3 linked regions of the Sus scrofa genome follow. The protein of the gene in region 2 purifies or fractionates together with the protein of the main gene of each other region. This does not show direct contact. Links are inferred from orthologs where the notes say so. Each region holds a gene or a part of one and is shown on either strand. Other genes may lie near its edges. The genes, in order: CYB5A, BCAP31 and VDAC1.

Region 1 (10,427 bases), on a different chromosome or scaffold from region 2:
ACCAATAGCAGATTCTCAAAGAAATAGGTAGAAACTGACACACCCAGGGGGACTTCGTCACAGAAAGGCCACATGCTGCCACCCCAGCATGCCAGACACAGAAGGCCCCCGACTGAGCTCAGAGGCAGTTAATGCCACCCTCCACCAAGTCCATTCTGCTTTCAGGTCTTCTCAGTAGCAGTGCCTGTTCATTGCCATCATCTGGCTGTGATGAACTCATGGGCTTGACTAGAGACATGATTCATTCCATGGGGTAAGTAAGTGACCTCCTGCCATCACCCCCGAGACATCAGATCTCACTAACCAGAGGTCACTGACCAACAGGCCACACAGGCCACATTCTATTCACCCAGTGTGAACATAGTGCCACATCACTCTCCTGGTCTCCACACAGGACTCAGTGAAAGACACAAGCAGCCAGCTAATAAAATACAAGTTAAGTGGCTGTTCCCAAAAAAAACCAAGTTCAAAACTTTATGGCTTTGAGCCACTGCTACTTAAATCCTCAGTTAAGTCTGTTGCTACCTCAGGCCATTTTTCCGAGTGCTTTAACATGGACTAGTGCTGACAACAATGGCCAATTTTAGGACAAACATGATATTACTTGCTACAGCTGCACTTTTAAGAGAATTTATATACTGAAGGGGCTAAAAAATGTTTCCATACATTTCCTTTTCTGACAAAAATACACACCCAAATAAATCAAGAGAGGAGATGGGTAGTAATCAACCGAGTCTCTTCAATTACTAAAGAGAACCAAGACCTGAGGAAAACAAGCTCTCCCTGGTGTGTGAGTCCTTGTGTTACTGTGGTCACTTAGTATGGCCACCATGGGTACCCTGTGATAAGCATCAACATGTAAAAAAGTGTATAGAGGGTTAGGGTGAGGGTGAGAGGGTTAGGGCTGTTGTCAGCTCTAGTTGTCAGCATTGTTGTCAGCTCTAGTCCACAATAGATATCTGTATTAAGTAGAAATGGGCATAATTTATTCTTTGATTTATCCAAACTGACCTGCATAATCCATTCTGCCTTCTTTAGTTAGAACTTCTAACTGCCTTAAAGATAAACAGAAAGCAAAAGTCAATAATGTCAAGTGTTGGATTTTTTTTTTTAAACTCTTTCAAAACAAAGTTGCTTCACAAGCACTCTTGGAACCTCTTCCCAAAAGCAGCAAAAAGGTACCACACACACAGAGTAGAAATGTATAAAAGAGGCCCTGCCCAAGGCTCACGTCCACCACATGGTACATTGTGAGATGTGTCTCTTATGCCTATTTATCCAAGATGCCCGAACCACCTTTACCACCAAGGATGCCTTTATATTTTCCTCCTATGGATTTCATACTTTCTGAATTTTACCAAACTACATATGTTAGATAATAACTTTTCCATCTTACAATCATCAAAGACATTTGCAATTACAGTTTTTCAGTATAAGATTCAGGATATTATCAAAAATGTAGGATTTTAGCACTAAATATGGCAGTCCTACCAAGGGTAAAGATACAGGGTCCTCTGTTTTTCAGAACTAAGGACACCGATTTCAAGTACCCAAACTCTTTTCCTGAATCTCCAGGGCATCGATGCTCCACAGGCTTAGAATCACTGGTCTCTGCAAAGTAGGCAGCCATGTTCAAGGGAAACAACAAAACCTGCTATAAAGAACACTGCCTAAGATTCTGAAAGCAAAAGTGAGTCAGGAGCCAACAGCTTTAGAAGGCAGAATGCTGTTAAAGAACATCTAAGATGCAGATACAGGGCATCAGAATCGCAGGGTCACCAGAAAATGTTCTATATAAATCAGTTTCCATTTTGGTCACATAAAGGAGAGAGGCAGTTTGACACAAAGGCATTGTGCTTTATGGTATTTTTTTAGGAAGATGTCTATTTCACAAATTAAACATCTAATGACTTGAACTGAAAGCAAGTTAATATTACTGCCATTAATTATATGACACTTTCTTTTCTTATTCCACAGTACTTGTAAAAACTTGAAAAAATAAATGTTTACTGCCCAAAATCACAGAAAGGGAAAAGTAAATCAATTTTTCTCCTGGCCCTAAATGCCTACATTTTCATGCAAAGCTCTACAATCATTAGCCTTGCTAATAACATAATCAGGAATGACAAGACTCTACTTCACAAATGTAAATGCAAAAACCAGAATTGGAAAAAAAAAAAAAAAAAACCCACGAAACTAAAAAAAAACCCTATTTCAAAATACTTAGGCAACAAGGCTAACAACCTTGGAGATCAATATCAGACAGTAACAAAACACCTGCTGCTACTTAGATCACCAGCAATAAAGGAGCCAGTCCTCCCTCTCAGGTGTCTACCCTCCTCTGGAAAACAAAACAGCTTAATATGGCCATTATTTCCAGAGGTGGAGCTCATTGCACAACTTAGAAACTTCACCTGTGTTCTTGAGCCAGAAGGGTATAATTTGTATAAAACTCTCTTTGTTTCAACATCACCTGCCAGATTTATACCTTTACCTAGAATTTCATATTAGCACTCAGCTACATACGATGCTATGGAAAGAAAGCCATGCCTAACCCAGACCTGTACTGGTAGAGGAGTTTGCATTTACTGTGCAGACCATATGCTGTATGTTTAACCTGCATTATTTTGTTTCTATGATATATAAGGAGATCTAGCCCATAATGACTGAAAGTCCACTTAGGAGGTAGGAAGACAAAAACCAAAAAACAAACAAGGAACTTCTTTCATATTTGGGTAAATTAGGGAAAGTAGGATATTATTTAGTTACCAGGTAAAGGCTTCATGAATTTCTGGAGCTTTTAAATTGATGGAAGAAAAGGGGGCAAGGCAAGAGGAGAGAGACAGATCTTTGAGGCTCCCTTCTGTTTCAGAAGAAAGGATGAGGTAAATAGCACTGGCTTAATAAAGTAATGGAACAGGAGGGATCTAGGAAGTGAAACACTGAGTGTCCTGCAAGTAGGTCTCTGAATGAGATGTGTGTTTAAGGTGCAGGGAATCCTTGGATAGCTGGGCTGAGGGCAGGAAGCCAAAGACTAGAACACTGCACTAATCAGAGATGATCACAGAAAGTGAAAACAGATAGTAAAAACTGCACACGACCCCCAGAATGTGATGTTCTGGGAAGGCTGGCACTGCTGATGACCAGCTAGAACAGGTTGGCAAGTGTCCTCCTGCATGTCTTTATTCTTCTGATTGGTCCCATTTCACAGTGTCAGCCAGTTTTCTTCTTAATCCAGGCCAGCTCTGGGAGCAGGTCTGTCATCAATGACTTTAGGCCCAGAGCTGATGTCTCACACAGCCACCCCAGTCCCATCCCCACCACTGAACTAGGCTCTGGCCCACACAACATAGCTCTCTGTGTTATAACCCCCATACGTCCACAGCATTGTTTTCTGTGTTATTACTCAAATGGAAGTTTCTGAGGGTAGAAATGATATCTCTTCCTCTCAAATTCTTGTCTCCACTATAAGAAGTCAGCAGATACCGGATAAACTAATTGAAGGAAGGGTGTGAGTACCAGAAAACAGTGGTGTCCCAAATTCAACTCACAGGTGGGCTCCTCTGGGGAGCATTTTACCAAGTAGCAATTGAGGAAACTTAAGCATACAGGAACTGCTGTAAACTTGTTTTCATTTACCTCACTATAAATAGTAGTTTTTAAGTTATCTCACTGTAAGTATTAGTTATCATATATTAGTGATAAACCGATTCATCACATTTTACTTGAGAGGTGTTCTTCCTAAACTACTTGTAGAGAGAGAGTTTTGAAAACTGAGTGAGAAATAAAGGAATCTGCTGTCAACTAATTCACCCTCTGAACAGCTGGTTTGCAGTTTGGCTTAGAAAACTGTGCAATTCCTTTACTGCTTCATAAGAATGAAATGTAAAAGTAATTGGTTTATAGTGAAGTGTAATAATCTTCCCTTCCTATCTCCTTTTGAGAAACGTACCCATAAAAAATTATGCAAGATACATCCTCGGGCAATGGTTCTTGACTAGGAGTGACATTTTTGTCCCCAAGGGAACATGTGACAATAGTTGGAGACATTTTCGGTTATCACAAAAACAGAAGGGGGAGCAGTGATACTGACAACTGGTTGGGAGAGACCATGGAGGCCCTCTGCACAACACATTGAACAAGACGGAACCCACAAAAAAAGAAAGAAAAAATGGCAAATGCTTTGTAACATAAAATACCCTATTATTTTTTCATAAGTGCTATTTTTTTCTTTTCTTTTCTTTTTTTTTTTTTTTTTTTGCTTTTTAGGGCCCCACCTGCAGCATATGGAAGTTCCCAGGCTAGCGGTTAGATCAGAGCTAAAGCTTCCAGCCTACTCCACAACTACAGCAACTCAGGATCCGAGCCGCATCTGTGACCTACACCACAGCTCACGTCAAAACACTGGATCCCCGACCCACTGAGAGAGGCCAGGGATAGAACCTGCAACTTCATGGACACTAGTTGGATTCCTTTCTGCTGCACCACGACAGGAACTCCCATATGCTATTCTTTTTAATAGACACAAATAAAGAAAGCACACTCTGAATCTTAAAATTCCAAAATTACACATACCATAGGAAGGGAGAAGAACAGCTTTTTTTTTTTTTTTTTTTTGTCTTTTTGCCATTTTCTTGGGCTGCTCCTGTGGTATATGGAGGTTCCCAGGCTAGGGGTCGAATCGGAGCTGTAGCCACCGGCTACGCAAGAGCCACAGCAACATGGGATCCAAGCCGTGTCTGCGACCTAGACCGCAGTTCACGGCAACGCCGGATGCTTAACCCACTAAGCAAGGCTGGGAATCGAACCCGAAACCTCATGGTTCCTAATCAGATTCGTTAACAACTGAGCCACGACGGGAACTCTGGGAAGAACAGCTGTTAAACAGACATTTGATATCAGTTAGATCTGATGATATGATGCAGGATTATTAGCTGAAGAAATTCTAATAGCAAATAAGCTCCATAGCTCAGCAGAAGGGGCGGGCCAGATCAGATCTGACTCCCTACTATAAACCACTCTTAACTGTATTGGGACACTGTTTTACCTTCTGGCACATCACCTAAAGACAACAGTAAAATATCTTACCAATAAACAAAAACTTCAACCTTTAAAAGTTTTTTAAAACATTCTCTACAAAACAAATGTCCTTTGATAGAAATTGTGACCCAGCTCAGACCAGGCCTCTATCTACATTTTTCTCACAAACTATGTGAAGAATTCCACTAAACATTCCTATTCATTGTCTGGGGGAATGAAGGAGTGTTATACTAAGATTTAAGATTTGTGACTCAAACTCCTTCACAGCCAGAGTTGGGGGAGGGGGGACTCAATATTTACTGCAAAAATTATAATCTAATGCAAAGAATCTTATCAAAGGAATGTTCTCCTCTAAGTTAAGCAAAGTTATTTTTACAATTTCCAAAGTTGCTTAAGGATCAAGTCCCACTGGCAATTTTTACTTCTCTGTCCCTCTTCCTCTCTTCATCAAAGCCACACACAGCCCGCCACACTGACTCGAAGGAGTCCAATACTGTACCTCACTGAAGTTATCATTAGATACCTTTACAATCACTGGGCGCCTTCTAGATGGTGGGCATGGATGGTGGGGCTGGCTTGTAGGTGCCAGGGGGAGAGCAGCTCTCGGGGTGGGTGATCTCCAACTGGGTCCAATTAGGAATCCACTCCAGAAATAATAAGTGGGAGGACCCCTGTCCTAGATGAAGCCCTGGTTTGTGTAAACTCAAGGATAAAAGATCTTTAAAATCCTTCCGTGGTTGAGCTCTTAGGAAGGCAGCTCCAGATGCGATTCAGTTTCCCTCTAAGTTCAAAATGGTTCTTTCTTACACGCCCGCGCAGGGTCTCCGGAGGCAGTCCCTGCCCTACAAGGGAGGGCTGCAGACTGCTAAAACCGCTGATCCAGCCGCAGAACTAACTTACGCACCCTCGGTCGCCCTCAGGTGTGCACACACAGGTGTGCAGCTTCCGGGGATGCACACGGAGGCACGCAGACCCAAGTGTACAAACTCAGGGTCCGCTCCCAGGTGTGCAGACTCAGCAAACACTCCCGGGTGCGCACACTCAGGTGCGGATATAGAGGCGTGCAGGTCTATCCCGACATGCTGCAAACGACAGGTCTTGGCAGGCAACCCCCCAAACTTAGGCCAGCATCCTGCCTCACAAACTCACCTCCTCCAAAAATTTGGTCAAATCGTACACTTTGTGGTGCAGGATTAGCCAGGTGCTCTTGCTGTTGTTGTGCTTCTGGATCTCTTCCAGGGTGTAATACTTCACGGCTTTGTCGGACTGTTCGGCCATTTCGTAACGCGGCGAACCTCAGGCCCTGCTGACAGCGGCAGAGATGAGCGGAACAGAGTGGGAGTCCTGGCGAACTCGGGCCGGGACATTCCCCTGGTCCCAGCTCCCCAACTGGGCCGGGCGGCAGACAGAGGAGAGGGGGACGGCCGAAGCACGACCTCCGATGATTGGCCAGAACTCGTGTCACTCAAAGGGCGAGCTCGACCGACGTTCTCTGCCAGCCCCAAAGCGCCCCGCCCAGTATGCGAGTTTTAATTGGCTGCCGAAGGTGCCCTCCATGTTCACGGTTGTGGGAGTAAGCGGAGGCGGGGCTTCCTTCGAGTCTGCGCAGAAGGGGATGATGCGGGAGCCCGGGACCGTGGGGTGGAGTGGCTGGCGAAGGAGGGTTCATTGTGGCAGGCGCAGTGTCCACCTTGGCAGGGCAACGACCACACAACAAAATCGCCGCGATTTCCCAATCAGGTCAGATCAGCCAGACCTGGACATTAATTTGTAACAAATTCGTTCCGTTGCTAGTGTCAGGGTGAACTGAGTGTCAAGGTGATCTGTTACGGTGAGAGGAGATGTGGTAAACAACCAGTGCTCTCATTTAGCCTCCGTAGAACGAGTGTACTTACTGCCCAATTGCTTGACCAATTCCCCTCACCCCAGAACTGCCCCCATTCTCACAGGAAAAACAAACCCGGGGGAATTGTTCTATAAAAGCAAAATCGTCCTAAAGAACTTAGGACATAAGTTATCTCGCTGTTGACCCAGACTATGCGAATACTTGTACTAGTGTCTTCTTTGTCTTTTCTCAACAGTATATTGTTTAAGATAAATCCTAAATGATTGACAGTTTTTGGAAGAGTATAAAACAGTACCTCCCCAGCTGGCACCCATAGGAAGATTTTAAGCACAGTTCTTTCACATTAGCTGCTGATACTTTTTTCCTGTCCCATTGCTTACCTCCTCCTTTGTAGGAATGCAAGGCCGTAGAAAAGACATTTTTGCTGACATTCCCAATAGTCCTTAGCTTTTTTTGTATGATGGAATACACTGATTTTCTTTCTTGTTTTTTTTTGGGGGGGGTTGATCTTTTTTAGAAGTGTGGTTGATTTACAATGTTGTGCTAATTTCTGGTGTACATCAAAGTGACCCAATCATACATATATATATACTTTCCTTTTCTTATGTTATCTTCCATTATGGTCTATCCCAAGAGATTGGATATAGTTTCCTATGCTACACAGGACCTCACTGCTTATCCATTCTAAATGTAGTAATTTGAATGTACTAACCCCAAACTCCCAGTCCATCCCACTCCCTCCCTCTCCCCGTTGGCAACCACAAGTGTGGCCTCTATGTCAGTGAGTCTGTTTCTGTTTGGTAGAGAGGTTCATTTGTGCCATATTTTAGATTCCACATGTAAGTGATATCATATGGTATTTGTCTTTCTGACTTACTTAGTATAACCTCTAATTGCATCCATGTTGCTGCAAATGGCATTATTTCATTCTTTTTTATGGCTGAGTAGTGTGGAATACATTGACTTTCATTATTATACCAGCCTTGCATCTCTGAAATAAATCACACTTCTCTATGATGTATAATTTTTAATACTCTTTTTTAAAAAAATTGAAGTATACTTAATTTACCATGTTGTGTTAGCTTTTGGGTGTACAGCACAGTAATTCAGTTATATATGTATATGCACACATTCTTTTTCATATTCTTTTCCACTATGGCTTATTATAAGATATTGAATATAGTTCCCTGTGCTATAGAGTAGGACCTTCTGGTTAAATATCTATATATATGGTAGTTTGTATCTGCTAATCCCAAACTCCCAGTTTATCCCTCTCTTTCCCTATCTTTTCCTTTTCAGGAAGTTTTAAACTATGGATTTAGTTCCCATAGTAGTTGTAAGACTATTGAAATCTATTTCAAACTGGGTGAGTTGTGGTAGTTGGTAGTTTTCAAGGAACTGATCCAGTTCATCTAAATTATCAAATCTATGTGTGTAGGATTGTTCATAGTAGTCCCTTATTAGCTTTTGATGTCTGCAAGGTCTGTAGTGATATCTTCTGTTTAATTCCCGGTAGTAGTAATATGACCTCTCTTTTTATTGCCCTATTGTCAGCCTTGCTAGAGGTTTGTCAGTTTTATCTATCTTTCCAAAGAGCTTACAGTTCCCATCCTGGCTCAGCAGAAACAAATCTGACTAGCATTCATGAGGACGCAGGTTCAATCGCTGGCCTCAATTAGTGGGTGAAGGATCTGGCGTTGCCCTGAGCTGTGGCATAGGTCGCAAACGTGGAATGGATCCAGTTGCTGTGGCTGTGGTGTACATAGGCCAGCATCTACATCTCCAATTTGACCCCTAGCCTGGGACCCTCCATGTGCCTCGGGTGTAGCCGGAAAAAAAAGAGCTAGCTTTTTATTGTTTTTATTTTCTTTCCTAATGTCATTGACTTCTGCTCCTTACTGAATTTTTCCTTCTACTTGCTTCCGGTTCCTTTTTTTTTTCCTACTTTCTTAAGGTGTGAGTTTATTAAGACTTTTCCTTTTTTCAAATACATGCACTTAGTGTTATAACTTTCTTAAATGCTTTAAAAATAGTAAACTACATTACCTATACTGTTTCCCTAACAGTTCTCCAGACCGCTGAATCTCCCCATGACTCTGACAGAACAATGAATCTCTTCAGTGCATGACTACCTCTATAATCCAAGGTCAAGACTATTTCAGATTTCAGTTCCAGTTCCAAATAACTCAGGAAGTGGTTAACAATAAAACTTTGGTGCCAGTGACCTGGATCCTATCCCTGGTTTGGTAAATTATGCATGACATTGACCTAATCAGTTAACTCTTCTAAGCCACTGCTTATAAATGCTTAGTACAGGGTTTGGCACATAGAAAACAATCGATAGATTTTAGCAAGTGCTATTACCAAATAAGACTTCCTTATTCTAAAGCAGAGTGTATAAGGAAACATCCTATGTGGCAGGTGCTCCAGGTGAGGTAAATTTAGACAAATTTAGAAACAAACCTGAGAAATTAAAGGAATACAAATATTTACAAACCCTTCCTGACCTCCCCTCCAGCAAAGAAATTTTTATAAACATTTAGAAAACCAACTCTACTCCTAAAGTTCCTCCAACTCTACTCCTAAAGTTCCTCAAGTAAAATATACTATAGAAAGCACTCAGTCTCCTACTATAAGGCAAAAATAAACACATATTATTACATTTTTAATTCCTTTTCTAATTCCTTCTGCCACTCATGCACAAGACACACTTGAGCAGCTCTTTCCTTCCCACTCACAAATAATTAATTTGCCATTATATAGTCATAACCATAGAGAGTGAGTTCCCTCAACAAATGGGCACTCTACAAAAAAGGACTCCAAATTATCTACATGGATAATTTGCATTATATTTATCTTTTAAATATGTTAGCATACGTTAAATTTTCTTTTCCAAAAAAATTTGTATCTCTAGTGCATATATTTACTTGATTTCCAAACAATTCCCCATCTATTAGCAATAATTTCCAAAATTTCCTGAATTTTTAAATTTTTCATTCATTTTAAAATACTTATAGAGTTCCCGTCGTGGCTTGGTGGTTGGCGAATCCGACTAGGAACTATGAGGTTGCAGGGTTCGATCCCTGGCCTTGCTTAGTGGGTTTCAGATCCGGCATTGTCGTGAGCTGTGGTGTAGGTCGCAGACATGGCTTGGATCCCACATTGCTGTGGCTCTGGTGTAGGCCAGCAGTTACAGCTCCAATTCCACCCCTAGCCTGGGAACCTCCATATGTGTCAGGTGGGGCCGTAGAAAAAAAAGACAAAAAGACAAAAAATAAATAAATAAAACAAAGCACTTATGAAGTTGTTTTTACCCATGTATATTTATAACACCAGAATGTCAGTTGATCCTCTCTAATCAACTGAATATCAGAGACAGAATGAGGAGCAGAGAGCAATGGATATAATCTGATAACAAAGCTAGTGCTTAAGTTCATTGCTGAGGCAGAACAACTTTCCTCAATAACTTAAGACAAAGACAAGTTAATTATATGTAATCTTACTATAAATACATTCTTGGGCACATTTTCCTTGTATGTCC
Region 2 (8,472 bases):
TCAGAGGTCATCCTGTAAAACCTTCGGGGGGGGGGCAGGGAGTGACTGGTGGCGCTCTGCCACGTTCTATCTGTCCTAAATGTGATGAACGGGACCCAGAGGAGACAGGCGAGCCTGCCACCCGGAAGCGCCACTGGTTCACCGGGTCTCCCAAGCTCCCCCGGGCCCAGCGGCCAACCCCCAGGGAGACGGAAAGGACAGACCCGCCCCATGGAGCTGTAACGCGGGGCCTGGCAGGGGAGCAGGAGGCAGAGGGGCAGAGAGGCCAAGGGCGAGCCTGTGCCTAGCCTGAGATGAGGGACGCTTCTGGGGTCAGAGCAAATGGGGACAAAACACGGCCCTCCAGAGCCAAGACTGGGGCGGGGGTCCTCCGTCAGAGCTGCCGGCCGCCGCCTCCCGGCCACTGCGGGGAGAGGGAGCACAAGGCGGCCTCCTCGCGGCCCCAGTCTCTCTCTCTCTCTCACACACACACACACACACACACACACAAGCACACACGCACCACGAACACATCACAACAACCTTTATTGCCCCGAGAAACCTCTACTCTTCCTGCTCCATCTGCCTTCCTGCAGGACCAGAGAAAGGGGGCCTTGGAGGCGCGAACAGCAACACGTAACACAAAGGGGCTCAATCCAGCGGAAAGCAAGCCCTGCTCATCCTGGACGGGAACTGGGTCCCCTACAGAATGCTGGGGGCGCGTGGAACTGCAAGCAGCGCGGGGAAACAGCAGCGGAGGGGAGCGAGCCGAAGTGCCGAGGGAGGCTGGGCTCTCGCGAAGCAGCCAGCCACGGGCAGGGAACAGGGGCCCTCACTCCTCCTTCTTGTCCGTGGGGCCATCTACCGCCGCCTGCAAAGGGGACAGAAATTGCAAAGCAGTGGGTTGGCAGGGTGCCCTCCTCCCCTTCGCCTTCCAGCCCCGCCACCCTACAGGGAGGCCCAGCAGGGTGCGCCTTTCCCCAAATGCCAGGTAGCCAGGTGAGCGAGGGACCCCACCCTCAGCGGCACCCCACGGCCTGCCAGGGTAGGAATGGCCCCACTCCAGTGGGAGGGGGCACAGCTGGAAGCCTCCGCTGTCACTCTTTTCTTAGAGCCCCGCCCTCGCAGCAATACCTCCTGGGCCTCCCTCGCCCGCACCCTCGTCCCCAGGGCACCTCGGCATTTGAGTCCCTTCCAAGTCCCAGTTCAGGCTCTTTCCGACTCTGCACACCTTGCACAGGTCCCGCTGGGGAGCCTGCCCTGCGCTGAAGCTGTCAGCTCCTCTCCGCCCTCCATGGTGCCCAAACTTGGGCCACCAGGCACCAAGGCGAGCTGTCAGAACCTAGGGGTGTCTATCTGCTGGGCCCTCACGCCCCATTTCCAGGCCACCCAAGCTTCCGGATGCAGGTAGTCTGAGGGGCCTGGCGGTGTAGGTGGAGGCTGTGACCAGCAGCGCAGCCTGGAGCTCTCTGCCCCACCTCACCCCACAGCCCCCACAGCCCCCACAGCGGGAAGCCAGCAGCCGGGGCTGGCGTTTCCCCTGCGGTGTACGCGGGACGAGAACTGTACCCAAGGAAAGGAGCTTTGCTCAAGGGGGCACTGATGCTGGGCACGAGGCTAGGGCCCAGCTACCAAGGCCACCTTCGTTAGCAGCTGCCCCCTACCAGGCCACAAGCCCTCCTGCTCAAGAAAGCGTTCCGGCTGTTGGACCCAGACTGGCACCAGACTCAGCAGCAAGAGGGAAAAGGGGGACTGGGGGAGAGAGCAAGCAGCCAGCCCGCTGCCGAGGCCTCTCCCAGGGACAGGTCCGCCCCGAGGCAGAGAGAATGGGCAGCCAGCTCTGCGCCCGCTCGGGGGGTGGGGCAGGGTCCCGTTCCAACAGGGCAGGCGGCGGCGGCGTGCTGACCTGCAGCTTTGTGTGCTCCTCCAACAGGCGGTCGTACTCCTTGGTGAGGCCCTCCGACTGCTTCCGCATGGCCAGAGCCTCGTTTTCAGCCTTCTCCAGCTCTGTGGACAATGCGAGCAGTGAAAGGGAGGAACGTTCAAAGATTAGGATTAGGGGAAAAGGAACCTTTGCTGGAGAGAGCAGGTGCAGCCACCCCCAATCTGTCCCCAGCCAGGGTGCCTGGGAGACCACTCTGCTCAAGAAAGCTGCCTTGAGAGCCTCCAAAAGTGGCAGAGGGCTGGCCGACAAGGCTGTGGCAAGCGGGAAAACATGGAGGATCCCCGCCAGCCCCTGTAACGGACATGCCTCTCAGCAGGGGGTGGGATCGCAGGGAAGCTGCCGGCCTGGGACAAACGCTGCGGAAATGCCCAGGTCAGAGGAGGAGGCACCTCTGACTGAGGCTCTCCTTCCCCACCCCGCCAGGCCCCTGGCGACGGGGCACAACGCCACTCCTCGCCGGGCGCTGCATGGGACACTCTGGACGTGGCCTCTGGGGCTCCCCGGTGGGGACCCTGCCTGCACCGAGGAACCACTAAGCCCCACCGGCTGGGGCTGAGCCCGGCTGCACTGGGGCTGGCCGAGCAGGGGCCATCTGCTTGTTTCCACCCCGCTCCTGGCCCCTGCGTGTCTCTCATTGATACTTCGGCATGAGAAGTGCGGCAGCCACTGGCACAGGCTCCAGACTTCTGGGGGCCGGGCGTGACCCGAGGACAGTGCTCACTCTGCTTGCTGACGGCCAGCTCTTCCTTCAGCCTCTTCAGCTCAGCCTTCAGGCTCCTGTTCTCTTCCTCCACCTTCCCTCCTGCGTCGCCGCCATCTAACTTGACTCCGCCCACAGCAGCTTCCTGGGAAGAGCGCCAAGGGCGGGGTTACTGGGGGGGGAGGCGGAGGGGGGAGGAAGGGGAGGGGAGGGGGGGCTCCAGCTCTGTCTTCGGCCTTGGCCTCGCAGGGATTCCTCAAGCGGCCCTGGGCACTTGCCCCTTCGGAAATGTCAGCGCAGAACTGGGCCACTGCTTATTTCCAGCCACCAGGCAAAGCCCAGGGCCAGCAGGGCCACCTGCTGCAGCTCGGAGGCCACACGCCCTGCCTCCTTTCTCAGCAGCTCTTCGGAGTTTACCAGTCCATCCAGTGACTCAATCCGCTGTCATCTGGGGATTTCTGCCAGTCGCCCCCAATTGACCATTGCCCTCCCTGCCCCTCTCCAAGCTTCACAGCTCCCTCCGGCCAAAGGGCCCTGAACTCGCCCCTACCCGTCCAAGTCTATCCTGCCTACGAATCCAAGGCCATCCGTCTCCTTCCCAGCTTGGCTCACACCTCACCTCCTGCGACAAGCCTTCTAGGACTGCCCCGCCTCGTCCCCGGCTGATAGCAATCCTTCTCTGGTGTTCTTCTGTGCTAACTTGCCCAATGTTCACAGCCCAGGGCGCAGCTCGTTAAGGAGTCATTAGTTTTACGAGGGAAGAGTCTGGCCTGGATGCAGTGGGTAGAGGCGAGAGCAGCAAGGGTGCCCCCTTTCTGAGTCCCTCAGACGCCTCCGCCCATTCACCCAGCTCCTCCATTTTTCCAACAACAGCGGTATCACACGTTTCCCAGCCTGAGAGGCTAACAGTAGCCACTGTGGCCCATAAAGAATGTCGCATGGGGGACGGGCAGTTAGGGAAGGCCAAACCCACCTTCTTCAGCTGGTCGTTCTCTTCCATGTACTTCTTGGCTGCTTCACTAGCGCTCTCTGCCTGCTTTTTAAAGGCTTCATTGGAGGCCAGCAGCGTGGCCTGCTGGGAGATGAGAGTTACCAGGCGTCTAAGCAGGCTGGAAATGTTTACAAAAAGAAGGGAGAAATGAGCAAAAGGAAGAGGGAGAAAAAGGCTAGCGTGAACTTCTCTGGTTGCTCCCACCCCACACCTGCCTCTGGCCTAGACCTGTCCCTTGGGGTTGCCAGGGCAGCCAAGCAAAATGCTACGGGCATCTGGATCTGGCAACACGATGGGAAAGATGGCGCCGGGAGCTGTCCTCTGCCACCAGAATGATTAACAGCGCCCCCCCAAAGGCTGTTCACAGACCTGGGGCTCTCCTCCAGCCCCAAAGGCACAGGAGGCAGGAACATGACAGGACGCTCGGGACCAGGTCTACCGACAGCCTAAAGGTCTAGAACCCAGTGCTTTCCAGGGCAGGGCCCAGACGTGCTAAAGAAGCCACGATACCCCTTCCCTGAGTGCAAGGCCGGCCTCGCCCTGGCAAAGAAGAGCAGCCAGTGTTGGGTGTGCTTCCAACAGGCCAGCTGAATCCTCGAGACGACGTGAGGCGGGCGCCACTGCTGCCCCATCTCATCTTCAGAGGCTCGGGAGGCGGAAGCCAGTGGTCAAGAGCCAGAAGCAAATGTAACCTGTCTGTCTGACCCCAAGGCCTGAGCTGGCAACCGCGACGTGCTCGCAATTTCCAGGGAGCCGCTCCCCGGGCTGACAAGAAAGATGGAAGTGACTCTCCTCTCCTCACCCCTTCCCAGAGCACACCTGTGAGATAGCATCGCCGCAGTGAGGTGGCCAGGGCGAGGGGGACGAAAACACAAAGAACCAAGTCCCAGACTAGCCTCGAGAAGCAAGCAGGCAGCAGCTGGGCACGCGCTGCTCCATTTCCCGACAGACAGACACCTTGCCTCGAGGCCTCAACTCGCAGGAGAAGAGGACAGGAGAAGCGGGCAGGCACACCTCCCCACATGCCTGGGACAGGCCGGGCCAGCCACAGCTCCAGGAGGCGTGGGACAGGCAGAGGCCCTGGGGACGAGAGGAAGACCCAGCGTGTCCAGGGTGTTCCCACAAGGGCTTGCTCAGAGGAGACAGAGCAGCTGAGGCCGCCTGCTCCCAGCCATGCCCTCTGGCCTTCGCAGGGCTCTCGTGGACGCCTGCTGTTCCGAGGGGCCGGGGGGCCTAGGGAGGGACAGGAGAGCAAAAGGGGCGCCCCGCTCTCCCTGGCTGGGCCCTGGCAGAGCCCCTGGCGGGAAGGAGCCCAAAGCACCCATCACACTTCCTGGTTAAGGGAGAGGCTCCAGGGGCCCCTTGCAGGAAGGGAAGGGCCAGGCTACTGAGTCCTGGCAGGAGAGGAGAGTTTCCAGTGACATGTGCTCTCTAAAATTAGAGACCAGGACCTCGTGGCCCAGGGCTCAGGTTTCCCTGTCTCAGCCCCAACTGCCCACCAGCCTGCCCCCCGCCGGGTGGAGCCTCAGCGGTGGAGGGAGCTCCTGAGTGGCCCAGGAGCCAGAGAGAAGCAACAGGCCTGAGTCACAGCAGCAGGGTGGCAGTCAACAGAGGAGCCCAGGAAAAAAGGCAAGTCTGACTAAAGCCCAGCCTCGCAGGCACAGAGCTCTCAGGCAGCCCTGAGCGGATCCCGGCGAAGTGGAGCAGGCGGCTCCTCCCAGCTGGCGACTGGGGTGGGGGGAGGGCACGTGTGCCACCTGGCGGGCCCAGCAAGCAAGGAGCAGGCGAGCCCAAAGGTGCCGCTTCCCCTTCAACACCCCCCCCCTGCCCCCAACGAGGCTGGGGAGGCGGCTGACGCGGGCCGGACTCCAGCAGCACTATGAGTGACCACAGCTGTCGCCCCAGTTACCCAGGGAGGCCGGGCCCAGGGTGGTAGCGGCAATGATGACCACGGCAGAGGAGAAGGGGCCCCGCTCTCCTCGGTGCCCTCTCAGGCCAGCCCCAGTTGCAGAGAATCCAAGTTGCCAACCAGAGCCCCGGCAAACAAAGGGCAGCAAGTACAAGAAGGGTTCAGGGGGCCTCCCAAAATCTCAGCCTGCTCAGCACCCCCCAACCCCACCCTTTAGGGTCTAGGCCGCCCTCAGCACAGGGTGGGAGCCTCCAGGGGAGGTGCCTGGCCTCGCCACCTGTCTTTCTCTCCATCCCTGTCCTCTTCCTTCCTGTTAGACCTGTTCCTCCAACCCAGCCCCAGATTCTGGGTAATTCCTCCCTCCCGCCAGCCCCAGCCCCTCCTCCCTTCCTCCCTCCACACCACCCCAGGCCCTGCCCTGCCCTGCCCATGCCACCAGCAGGACCATGGTTGCCCTGACTGCCCAATCCAAGGAGCACCCTAGAGTCCTCGGGCACTCACTCTGTAGCACCTGGCGCAGCTGACAGTTCAGCCCCTGGGAATTCTCCTCTCCCTGCCTCGAGCAACCGTCGCTGCCTGTCAATCTCAACCCCAATAGGATTTATCTCAGCCAGACCCTGACACCCAGCTGCCTGCTAACCGGTGGCTCCTGGGAGGCCCCGAGACGCGTCCAACTCAGCTCGTCTGAGACAGGCCAACCGGCCCTGCACCGCGCTGCCCGCGGTTGAGGGCATCGCTGGTCGAGCCAAGCTCTCCTGTCTGCACGCCAACTGGGGCCCCAGTCATCCCTGCCGCCCCGTGGCTTCTTTCCTGGGTGACTTTCATCGCTTGCTAATAGACCTCCTCCCCTGGACCGTACAGCTTTGTGATCCGTGCCCCCGAGGAAGGGCAGAGTGACCTTCCTCCAAGACAACCTGACCACGAAGCCCCTCTGCTTCGATCCCTCCGCCACCTGCCCACAGCTCTCTGAGAGCTGGCTCCTGTCCCCTCACTGCCCACACGGTCCCCTGCTCTAGTAACACCAAAACACTGGCTGCTCTTGGAACACGTCAGCCCTTGCCTGCCTGGTCTCCGTGTCACTGCATGTCAGCCCGGCGGGCTGACATGGCTTCTCCCTCCTCTTTGAGAACCCGTGCTGATGACTCAAGACCCGACTCAGTCACCACCCTCCCCACAAAGCCTCTAGTGAACCTCCCCGGGGCCCCTTCTGGGTGTTCCCATGGCAGCCCCTGCGCCTGCTCTCAGCGGGCTGCATTGTCCTCTGGTCGGCCTCCATCGCTCGGTCACTTGCTCCTTATCTGGCTGCCCAGCTATAAATGCCTTCAGGCCAGGAACTGCACCTTGGACCCCTAGATGGCCCTTACCTGGCCCACTGAAAAGGGGCCTTGCAGGTGACCTGCCCCGCCCACAGGTGCGAGGCTCCCCCTCAGGCCCGGGCAGAATGGGGGTCTGAGGCCCTGACTCTCCCCAGACTCAGCCTTGCCTCGGCCCAGCCGCACCAAGGGGGACACAGGCAGACACACGGCTTGCCAGTCAGTCGAGCAAGTGACAGGAAAGAGCAGTAGGAAGGCACCACGTCAGACCCGTGTTGATGAGCCAGCCAGGCTTGTGACTGCAGTGCTGCTGAGAAGGCACTTGGGAAAACACTCATCACCAGAACTGGGGGCAGAGCCCAGTGCCCCGGCCCAAGTCCAAAGGGTGCCCCTGCGGGGCCCCGGGCTAAGCCAAGAGCAACACTCCCTAGCGCAGCCGACCAAGCCTGCCCAGGAGCTGGACTTCTAGAACGTCTTACTGCCCTCCCCCACACTAGGCGCCATGCTCTTGGGCCTGCCCTCCATTCAGCTACCCTGTGCCCCCTTCGAGCCTCCACCCCTTCCAGGTACCTCACTGGGCCCTTTCTGGGTCCGTCCCCTCAATGCTCTGAGTCTCCGCCAGGACCCAGACCCGGGGCAGAGCGGGGCACCTGGGGCAAAGTGCTGAGCTTCCGAACTGCCAAGTCTCGACAGCCTGGAGCAAAGGCTGGTGGACCGCTCTTTCCTCTCCTGCTGGCTCTCCTCCATCGCTCTCCGCTCCACTGCCCGAGGACGGCTTTGCAGACAACTATTCTTAGCTAGCTGTTTCTGGACTACAGGTGAGAACTACAAGCCAAAGGGATTTCCCAAAGGTACAGGGCTGGCAGAGGGGCCCTGGGATAACTGCAGCCAGTGACAGAGGGAGAAGTCAGCACACGAACCCTAAGAGAATCCAGATGTGTCCTTGGCGGACAAATGTCATCCCCAAATACCTGACTTCAACTGGGCTTTCTTGGTAGGATGTTTTGGGACGCTGAGTGGGGCTCTCATGCTTTTATAAAAGGTTGAGTAAACAAGAGAAGGCAGGAGAGAGCCAAGCGTATCAAGTAGCAAAGACGTGGTTCATACGCGCTTCACCCGGATCCTGTCTCCCTCCTGTGGGCGAACAGGGGGAGGCAGACGTGCACTTAACAGGAAGTGGGGCGAGAGCAAGGGGGAAGGGGGTCCTCCCAAGTCCCCAGGGGAAGAGTCTATGACTGTGGCAACCCGCCACCGCCAGGTGCTGCCTGCTCACTAACCACGTACCAGGCATCTCCCAGGTGCAGCACCCTTGGGGTCACTGGGCCCTCAGGACCGCACCACAAGACAGGTAGGCGGGCCAACTCCCCTTGGCCCGGCTGCCCAGCGGGAAGCTGATGTCACAGCGCCACCTGTTGATGCTCCAGGCTGACGACAGCGCAGCCTCAGGCAGCGCGCCGCAGGGCAGCAGGTGAGCCCGCCCCAGCTGTCCAGGCAAAAACAGGTTGGAGAGGCCTGGGGAGGTGGCCACCCTGGCAAGGAGCCAAAAGCCAAGTGATGCCCCAGCAAAAGCTTCAGGCGAAGCAGACCGGTAGTAACGGGGCAGGAGCCACCCCAGGAAACCCTCACCTGAAAGAG
Region 3 (10,396 bases), on a different chromosome or scaffold from region 2:
GTATAAAAAAATAGAATATTTGCACAGTCTCGAATCATCTCCCAAGATACTTGTTACTTACAAAGAGAAAAATAGTAGCTTTTAGAGAAACTTGGCAAATGCCACTTTAATCAGTGATTAAAGTAATGTCACCAGTAATGAGGCACCTTGACATAGACCTCCTGCTATCACACACCAGGATGGACACAACACAATATCACATCTGTGGTTGTCAAAAATGCATAACCAGGGAGTTCCCGGCAGGGCTCAGCGGAAACACACCTGACGAGTATCCATGAGGACGCAGGTTCCATCCCTGGCCTCGCTCAGTGGGTTGAGGATCCGGCATTACCGTGAGCTGTGGTGTAGGCTGCAGATGTGACTTGGATCTGGTGTTGCTGTGGCTGTGGCGCAGGCCAGCGGCTACAGGTCGAAGTTGAACCTGGGAACCTCCATATGCTGTGGGTGCGGCCCTAAGAAACCACAACATCAGCAAAAAAAAATGAGGAGTTCCCGTCGTGGCGCAGTGGTTAACGAATCTGACTAGGAACCATGAGGTTGCGGGTTCGGTCCCTGCCTTTGCTCAGTGGGTTAACGATCCGGCGTTGCCGTGAGCTGTGGTGTAGGTCGCAGACTCGGCTCGGATCCCGCGTTGCTGTGGCTCTGGCGTAGGCTGGTGGCTACAGCTCTGATTCAACCCCTAGCCTGGGAACCTCCATATGCCGCGGGAGCGGCCCAAGAAATAGCAACAACAGCAACAACAACAACAGACAAAAATACACAAGACAAAAAAAAAAAAAAAAAAAAAATGCATAACCAGGAGGAAACATCAGAAAAATCCAAACGGAAGTATGCTACAAAATAAGGGGCAATCTTCTTTAAAAGTGTCACGGTCCCGGAGTTCCCATCATGGCTCAGTGGTTAACGAATCCGACTAGGAACCATGAGGTTGCGGGTTCAATCCCTGGCCTTGCTCAGTGGGTTAACGATCCAGCGTTGCCGTGAGCTGTGGTGTAGGTCGCAGACATGGCTCAGATCGGACGTTGCTGTGGCTCTGGAGTAGGCTGGTGGCTACAGCTCCAATTTGACCCCTAGCCTGGGAACCTCCATATGCTGCAGGAGCAGCCCAAAGAAATAGCAAAAAGACAAAAAAAAAAAAAAAAGACAAAAAAGAAAAAAAGAAAATTAAGTGTAATGTAGTATCCTGAACCGGATCACGGACCAGAAATAAGACATCAGTAGGGCAACAGATTAGTTAATGATATACTATCGACATACATTTCCTGGTTCTGCTAATTGTATTATAGTTCTTGAGTGTCTCTCTGGATAACCTGTGCTGTTGTGGGAGGGGACCTAGAGGGAGGTGGACAAGCAAGAAGGCGACAGTCCCGCGAGAGAAACTACAGCAGAGGTGAGAACAAGAGTAAATTCAGCTCCTGGCCAATGGTCTTCAGACCATCCACGACCAACTTTGAAAGAGAGCATAACGGCCAGTGCTCGCTTCGGCAGCTCATATACGAAACTTAGAACGATGCAGAGAAGATGAGCGTGGCCCCTGCGCAAGGATGACACACTAATTCGTGACTTGGTCCATATTTTTTTTCCTGTGTCAAGTCAGTCTTTGTGCAATCAGAGCTGAAGAGTAAACTATTCGTGTACTATCTAGTTATTTTGAAAGATTTATATAATGAATTCTGGATATATGACCAATACAAGTGATGCGAGTTGAAAAATAAATAAATAAAAATTTGAAAATAAAGTAAAATAAAGAAAGCATAACCTCCAGAGGCAGGAACCTTGTGTACCCAGTCCCCGTGGCCAGCCTGCACCAAGGGTCTGAGCTCGGAAGGGCCTCCCTCTAATAAACAGGTGTCGGAAGAGGGAAAAAGGAGGAGAGAGGAAAATACGGGATGGCAAAAAATTAAATTCAAAGTGCCATTCAAAGACAGCCGAGAAGGTAAACTTTCTGTACATTTTACCACGATTTTTAAAAACAAAAAAACTGAGAAATGAAATTCCATACATGCCCTGAGCCTGTTATCCGCGTGCAAAACAACCTTTCCAGGATGAGGAGACCTACGGCTCTGCGTGGAAAAAAAACAAGAGTGTGTTCTAGAAGAGAACAACTCCCTCTAGCCACTTTGAAAAGTACCAGGAACAGAGGCAGACCAGCAGCAGGCCCCTTGCTCCCTTTTTTTTTTTTTTTTTTTTTTGGGCTTTTTAGGGCTGCACCCACGGCCTATGGGAGGTTCCCAGGCTAGGGGTCGAATCGGAGCTACAGCTGCCGGCCTACACCGCAGCCCCAGCAATGTGGGATCTGAGCCATGTCTGCAACCTACACTGTTGCTCATGGCAACACTGGATTCTTCACCCACTGAGCAAGGCCAAGGATCGAACCTGCATCCTCATGGATGTTAGTCAGATTCGTTAGCCACTGAGCCACAACGGGAACTCCCCGCCTTTCCTCCTGATAACCAACAAGTCTGATCTGTGTGTGGCCCCAGGGCCTGGAGCAAAAAAAGGCAGCCTCTGGAGCCACCTTGTAGTTAAGACCACATGCTCTCAGTGTCCCTAAGTAAGAAGGTGGGGAAAGGGCCATCAAGCCTAAGAAAGGGGGCTGGCCACAGGGACCCATTAGCCCCTGCTTCCCAGCGCCACCCCCTGGCCTTGGCTACTCACATTACCAGCAGCCTCAGTCCCAGGGAATGCAGCATTCCTGGACCAGAAATCCTGCAGCCTCCAAGCTGAGGCCAGCAGAACAATCACAGCACAGAATCTCACTATAAAACACAGCTAGGAATTCCCATCGTGGCGCAGTGGTTAACAAATCCGACTAGGAACCATGAGGTGAACTCAGTGGCTTAAGGATCCGGCGATGCCATGAGCTGTGGTCTAGGTCGCAGACACGGCTCGGATCCCACGTGGCTGTGGCCCTGGCGCAGGCCAGTGGCTACAGCTCCGATTCGACCCCTAGCCTGGGAACCTCTATATGCCACGGGTGTGGCCCTAGAAATGGCAAAGAAAAATAAAGAAATTAAATTAAATAAAAAAAGACACGGCTAGCTGTCCTTAGGGAGACGGTGGATGAGATTCTTACCCAGTGTTCGGTGAGAAGGATGAATCAAAGGTCAGCTTCAGTCCACGGGCAAGCTGAACAGAGAAGAAATTCGCCAGCAGGGTTAGTCACGAGACGGGCCGGCAGCCGCCCCTCAGTCACACCGCGTCTTTGGCGAGTTACCTGATCTTCCACGGTAATCTCCGTGCCCAGGGTGTTGTCGGTGTTCCACTTCTCTGTAAACGTCAGACCATATTCGGTCCATCTGTACTTGGTTTCCAGACTGCCCGTCACTTTGGTGGTCTCCGTGTTGGCTGAACCTGAGCTTGTAAATTCCTTTAAAAAAAAGAAAGAGGGTCACGGCCTGCATGCCAACGCTTCATTCTGCATCACGCCCCCCCTAAATGTTGGGAGCCCCGCAGCAAGTCCACGCCACCCCTACGTGGCCTCTGTTCTCCTTTAAGCAAGAGGTGACACCTTGCATGCGTGCAGGAAAAGCCTCACTCGATAATTCAATGAGATATTTCAAGTACAGATGGAGCCGGCTAATGAAAGGAATCTTACAGGGAATTCTTTTACTGGCCGTGCCCGAGGCATGCGAAAGTTCCCAGGCCAGGGACTGAACCGGTGCCACAGCAGTGGCCCGGAGCTGCTGCAGTGACAATGCCACATCCTTAACCTACTGCGCCACAAGGGAACTCCACTACAGAGAATTCTTTATCAGGACACGGCTTCCTTCCTCCCCTGTTAACGCTTCAGTCTGGACAGGAAGGCAATCCTTCCATCCCGCCTCCAGCCTAGAGAGAAAAAGCTTTTGAGCTAAAGCTGACGTGGCAGGAATTCAACCCGAAGTATCCTTCTTCGAACAATTACCACATGTACAATCTAAAAGAGACTAAGGTTTTTGTTTTAGGCATTCCCTTTGCGGCTCAGCAGTAATGAATCCGACTAGGAACCATAAGGTTGCAGGTTTGATCCCTGGCCTGGCTCAGTGGGTTAAGGATCCGGCGTTGCCGTGAGCTGTGGTGCAGGTTGCAGATGCCGCTCGGATCTGGCGTTGCTGTGGCTGTGGTGTAGGCCAGCAGCTACAACTCCAATTGGACCCCTAGCCTGGGAACTTCCATATGCCGTGGGTGTGGCCCTAAAAAAAAGCAAAAAAAGATTTTAAGTAATCACATGGTATGGAACAGAGGCTGATTCTGAAATAAGACGCATAAGGAAAAATAAAACTGAAGCCTGCCCCATATTCCTACTAGAATCCAGCTGAAGAAGTGGGGACCTGGTCACATGGTTCCCCTGGACCACAAATCCTACAAAGGATGCAATGCAAAGGACAGCTACAAGCTGCCACAATCAGAAGAGTCCCTTTGTTGGTCACCCCGAAGGAAGTTATTTTTTATATACTGATCTGCATAAATACCCATGCTCCGCGTGGGCCAGACAACTTACCAGTCCATTCTCAGATTTTGTTTTCAAATCAAGTTTTATTAGGCCAAATCCTAAAGAGAGGAGATGGTAGCTATTAGCAGGTTAAATAACTCACTCGAAAACAGCATCCCCGCCTCCCTCGGTCTGCTTTAACACGCTCTGAGTGTGAGGGCACCAGTCACCACTGCTGCGTGTGTTGGGGGGGGGCTGGTTGCCATGGAACCGTGGCCGACAGAACAGGCCCAGGCCCCACCTGCACGCCCAGCGGAGTCTGAGAAGAAGGTGCATGACCGCGTGGGCACATGTCTAAGGACAAGCTAAATTTAGAAGCTGCAATCCACTGCAGCGGCAGCCACAGACCTGCTCCCTGCCTGCGAGAGGAAACAAGAACGCCCGCTTGTTGGCAGCAATGTGCAAGCCCACCTGCACTGGGTGCACAACCACAACTGCTCGGCCAGCCGTAGAAGGCTTATCTTTTTTTCCCTGACATGAAAGGTCTGAGAGCGAGCTGACCCCAGTCTCTCAAACTCTGATGGGCAAAATCCCAAACATGCCACCCCCGCCTCCGAGCTGGAAGGCCACTCCGTGCGACACTCACCATAGCCCTTGGTGAAGACATCCCTGGCAGACTTGCCAAGATCGGCATACGTAGGAGGCACAGCCATCTTCTGCTGCCAGAAAAAAACCACCAAAATAAACACATTGGTAATTTCGGCTATGAGTTTCCACCAATAAAAATCATCAGCACTGAGTTCCCCCAGTGGCAGGCGGAGAGGCCTGTGCTGGCTGCTGCTTCTTTTTGTGACCAGAGCTTAAAATGCCCAATAAGTTTTATTGAGAGCAAACCAGCCTGACTTTTGGGGTTTGGGTTTTTGGTTTTTTTTTTTCTAGTTTTTTTGTTTGTTTGTTTGCTTTTTAGGGGCACACCGGCAGCATATGGAGGTTCCCAGGCTAGGGGTCTAATCGGAGCTGTAGCCCCCAGCCTACACCAGAGCCACAGCAATGCCAGATCTGAGCCACATCTGTGACCTACACCACAGCTCACGGCAACGCCGGATCCTTAACCCACTGAGTGAGGCCAGGGATCGAACCTGCATCCTCCTGGATGGTAGTCAGTTTCGTGAACCGCTGAGCCACAGCGGGAACGCCCAGCCTGACTTTGGACCTCTTCTCCTAGGCATCCCTGGGACTGAGCACAGGCCCAGAAGACGGGAGGAGTCAGGCAACATCAGCTAAATGAATTCACTGTCAAAGATGCATTCCCAGAAGGCAGCTACTTCACTCGACGGCAGGACTCTTGCCAATATAACGTATCTTCTTACAAAATATCGACTGCCAGGACATTAATACAACAAATAGAAATCAGAGCTTTTCAGAACAACTGATTTTCCCTAAGATTCGAATTTCATTCATTCAACAAATATTTATGGAGTCCCTACTGCGAGTCAGAATGGACCCAAATTACCCCAAAACTTGCATTTTACAGGAATCAACAGGGATATCATATTCTGCACTGAGAAAACAAACAAACAAAAAAAAAAACTGGAGTTCCTGTCCCAGCTTAGCAGTAACAAACCTGACCAGGATCCATGAGGACATGGGTTCGATCCCTGGCCTTGCTCAGTGGGTTAAGGATCTGGCGTTGCCGTGAGCCGTGGTGTGGGTCGCAGATACTGCTCGGATCCCACATTGCTGTGGCTGTGACGTAGGCCAGCAGCTGCAGCTCCAATTGGACCCCTAGCCTGGGCACTTCCATATGCCGTGGGTGTGGCCTTAAAAAGCAAAAAAAGAAAAAAACCAACAATAAAACCTAAGTAGGCAACTCTTCATAGGGAAGGAAATGCAACCACATCCCCCTCAAATTTGATTCAAACAAAAATTTATTGAATTCCATGATGACTTCATTTTTAAAACCAATTATCAAAGTACTACTTGGGATTATTGTATATCATTAAGCCAGTCAACAAGCATTTATTAAACACCTCGGTGTTCAAGAAAGACAAGAACTTCACTATTTTTTCGTTTTTTTGTTTTGTCTTTTCTAGGGCTGCACCCGCGGCATATAGAGGTTCCCAGGCAAGGGGTCTAATCCAAGCTGTAGCCACCAGCCACAGCCACAGCCACGCCAGATCCTTAACCCGCCGAGCAAGGCCAGGGATCGAACCCGCAACCTCATGGTTCCTAGTCGGATTCATTAACCACTGAGCCACGACGGGAACTCCAAGAAAGGCAAGGAACTTCAAATAGTCCTTGCCCTATCTGAGGACCACACTGGGCTGCTGGGAGGCTCTGTGATGACACATTATGTACAGAATGAAAACCCTACTCCAGACAGCTCACACTGTGTTCCATCCAGAAGAAGAGACCATGAGAAAGCTCCAACTTCTGTATCTTCTCCATCCTCAAAATCGTGGGTCTCAATCAGCCAGAAATTCACTTAACCCGGGGCTGGTCTGCTCCTTTTTAACACAATGTATCTAAGTTACCAAACTGAATCTGCGTACACCCCATCTAAAGTCACATCCTTACCAACTAACACAAACACCCACAGGGCATGTTCCTGGTTGAGGGGGACCCCCCCCGAAAAACGGTCCAAGGGATCCCAGGGTAACAACAGCACAACTGGAAGGTGCCTTCCTGAGCAAAGCCTTCACTTCAGACACGGCAGGGAACCCACAGAACCAATGAGTATCATGTTAAAAAAATAAATAAAATTGCAGTTCTCGTCGTGGCGCAGTGGTTAATGAATCTGACTAGGAATCATGAGGTTGCAGGTTTGACCCCTGGCCTTGCTCAGTGGGTGAAGGATCCGGCGTTGCCGTGAGCTGTGGTGTAGGTTGCAGATGCCGCTCAGATCCCCAGTTGCTGTGGCTCTGGTGTAGGCCGGCGGCTACAGCTCTGATTCAACCCCTAACCTGGGAACCTCCACATGCCGCAGGTGCGGCCCTAGAAAGACAAAAAGACAAAAAAAAAAAAAAAAAAAGAGAGAAAAGAAATAAAATAAAAAGTAAACTTCAATAATTTTAAATTACAAAAATACGGTCCAAGACCTCTTTTACTTTTTTTCAGAGGTTTTGCCAATTGTGTCTCGGCTCCCTCTCGTGTCAGAGCGGAGAGGAACAGCCCAGGAAGCTGTTGACGCTCCCCTAGTTTTGTCGCTGTTGTTATTTTTACACATGATCAGGCTGGAACCATGGGCACATCAGTCCCTATTAGCATCAGGGCACAGAGAACAGGGGCAGAGACCCGCTTTAGGCTGCTCTCACTGGCTCTTTCAAGTCTGCGGACCCCCTTCTCCCAACTTGTTCCCCTTCCACCGCCCCCAGGGACACAGCAGGAGACCATCCGCCAGGTCCCCCAGAGACACCCTCTGCCTTAGGCATGTGGCCCAGCCAGAGATGCGCCTGCCCCACCACCACCACCCCCAGGAGAAGCAATGAAACAACCCTGGATCGAAAAGTGAGGTCAGAGAGCCCGAGGAAATGTGCAGAACATCTCAGCAAAGGGCCCAGAACATTCTCCACCCCCGTGAGCACTCAAAGGTATTGGTTTGTGCCCCCTACCCAAATGGGTCACAAACTCAGCCCAGCCAGGTGAGGCCTGATGGCACTATTTCCGGGTCAGCTAAGACCTCCTGTACCTCAGGGGTCAGGGCCTTCCCGAGTACCCTCCCCTGGCTCTAGGACCCACCCCAGCTGGCACAGGCAGCTGTCACATCTGGAGTGGTCCATCCCTCAGGAAAAAAGCAGAACACTCATCATTTAATGCTCCCCAAACGCCCTCTCTTATCCCTAATCCCCCAAACTGGAAAGCAAAGCCACCTGTCAAAAAACACTCCAGCCACAGCAAGCATCGCCCTAAAGGGGCCACTAAGGAGATTACCACCCAAAGACAGGAGAGGTGGGACAGCAGAGGGAGCTCACATAAAGCCAGGCTCCCCTTGCAGCCCCAGCACAGCACCTGGCAAGGAAGATGCACAGGAACCAATGCCACTCCTGGACCAACAGGGGCAAGGGGCTGACTCCCCTCCACCAAAGGCCCCCAAAGGCCCTGTGGCTACAGCTTCCCCTTCTGCTTTCCGTGGGGACTTCCTCTTTCCCCACCTCCTGTCTCCGGCGGCACTGATGCGACAGGACTGAAACAGCCTGCCTGTCTGAGAAGCTCAGCTTTCTTACAAGTGCAAACAGCACCCAACACAGTTCTCAGGACCCCCCTTCAAAAACAATTTTATCGTCACAATAGTGATTGCCATCCCTGCTTTTTCAGGTCAGGACTAGAGGGGAGAGAATTCAGTATCCTACGTAATAGCCTGCCTGCACTGCCTGGGAGGCTGAACCCTTGTCCTGGCCCTGCCCTCCACCTGGATCAGCTCCAAACCACTCCCTGTCTGTCTCTGCAGCATCCCCCCCGACCATGCCACTATGCGTCTTCAGAAAAGGGAACTCACATACACGGCAGGTGGGAAGGCAAACTGGGCAGCCACTGTGCAAAAGAGAATGGAGATTCCTCCCCAAAATTAAGACTCAAATGACCATATAATAATCTAGCCATTCCACTTCACGGTCTTTATCCAAAGAATGTGCAAATACTAATTTGCAAAGATAAGTGCATGCCCATGCTCGCTGCAGCATTACTGACAATAGTCGAGACATGGAAATCAACCAATGAATGCATAACAAAGATATGGTGCATGTACGTATTCATGTGTGTGTACATACGACACAACCATAAAAAAAAAAAAAAGATGAAATGTGGCCATTTATGACAACATGGATGGACCGTGAGGTTATTACGCTAAATGAAATAAAGCAGATGGAGAAGACGATACCCTAAGATTTTGCTCATAGGTGGAATATTAAAAAAACAAAATAAATGAACAAACCAAAACAAACCCATAGATACAGAGAATACAGCAGTGGTTACCACAGGGAAAAGAGGAGGGGGGAGACTGGGAAAGGGATCAAGTACGTGGTGATGGATGAAAACTCAGATTCTGGGTGGTGGACACATGTAGAAACACAAGGCTGTACACATGAAACACAGATTTTTTTTTTTTTTTTTGTCTTTTCTAGGCCCACACATGTGGCATATGGAGGTTCCCAGGCTAGGGGTCGAATCGGAGCTGTAGCCATCGGCCTACACCAGAGCCACAGCAACGCCAAATCCGAGCCACGTCTGCAACCTACACCACAGCGCACAGCAACGCCAGATCCTTAACCCACTGAGCAAGGCCAGGGATCGAACCTGCAACCTCATGGTTCCTAGTCAGATTTGTTAACAACTGAGCCACAACTGGAACTCCGAAACATAGAATGTTATAAACAAGTGTTACCTCAATAAAAAATTAAAGGGACGGGGGTGGGCTAGGCAGCACAGCCCCTGGAGGCTGAGCACAAAGCACGCCCTGTGTAGATGGAAATCAGAAGGCTGCCTGGGGAAGCCAGGACCCCAGACCAATACCCAGGTGAGGGCTCCAAGGTAGAGCCTGGGAATGAGGTTCCCAAGGACACACGGGGCATGAGGAATGGGCAGGGCCGGGCAGAGCAGACCTGCCGAGAGTCACCGATGACTTCGAGCTGGGCTTGTAAGTCACACCAGAAGACAGGAATTGCTGCTTGCCCTCCACGGCCTGTCAGCCTCCCTACCCAGCCATTCCTTGGCTGACCTTGAACAGATTATGCAAGCTCCACTCCAGCGGAGGAATGAAAATCCAGCCCCTACTGGAGGCTCGGAGGGGAGAGAGAGCCGATCGCCCAGCAGCCCAGCCTTGCATAACCTCCACCTTGGGGGACACATCCTCCCTGACTCATCAGCTGCATGGCAGCGACAGCGGCTCTGCTCCCAGGGCCCCTCCACGCCTACAAACACACTTACTCCCAAATCATACCCGGAACCCTAAGCAGCCCAGAGCTTGCAAACATTTACCCAAAATAC

Evidence for each region.
Region 1: the proteins of BCAP31 (region 2) and CYB5A purify together in Homo sapiens (co-immunoprecipitation; 4 studies listed by BioGRID and IntAct, with this or other methods). This does not show direct contact. The link is inferred for Sus scrofa from reciprocal best matches to the Homo sapiens genes BCAP31 and CYB5A.
Region 3: the proteins of BCAP31 (region 2) and VDAC1 purify together in Homo sapiens (affinity purification with western blotting; 3 studies listed by BioGRID, with this or other methods). This does not show direct contact. The link is inferred for Sus scrofa from reciprocal best matches to the Homo sapiens genes BCAP31 and VDAC1.

The regions. Positions count from the first base shown.
Region 1 is NC_010443.5:149,733,651-149,744,077, reverse strand, and holds the start of CYB5A (cytochrome b5), read right to left. Parts: upstream 6,395-10,427; 5' UTR 6,319-6,394; coding exon 6,190-6,318; intron 1-6,189.
Region 2 is NC_010461.5:124,456,493-124,464,964, forward strand, and holds the end of BCAP31 (B-cell receptor-associated protein 31), read right to left. Parts: intron 8,411-8,472; exon of another isoform or gene 7,758-8,410; intron 4,109-7,757; exon of another isoform or gene 3,985-4,108; intron 3,734-3,984; coding exon 3,598-3,733; intron 2,770-3,597; coding exon 2,646-2,769; exon of another isoform or gene 1,987-2,645; coding exon 1,664-1,986; 3' UTR 851-1,663; coding exon of another isoform or gene 812-850; 3' UTR 507-811; downstream 1-506. UniProt on the Homo sapiens protein: Functions as a chaperone protein. Is one of the most abundant endoplasmic reticulum (ER) proteins.
Region 3 is NC_010444.4:136,315,482-136,325,877, forward strand, and holds the start of VDAC1 (voltage-dependent anion-selective channel protein 1), read right to left. Parts: upstream 5,128-10,396; coding exon 5,061-5,127; intron 4,534-5,060; coding exon 4,484-4,533; intron 3,371-4,483; coding exon 3,218-3,370; intron 3,130-3,217; coding exon 3,077-3,129; intron 1-3,076. UniProt on the Homo sapiens protein: Non-selective voltage-gated ion channel that mediates the transport of anions and cations through the mitochondrion outer membrane and plasma membrane.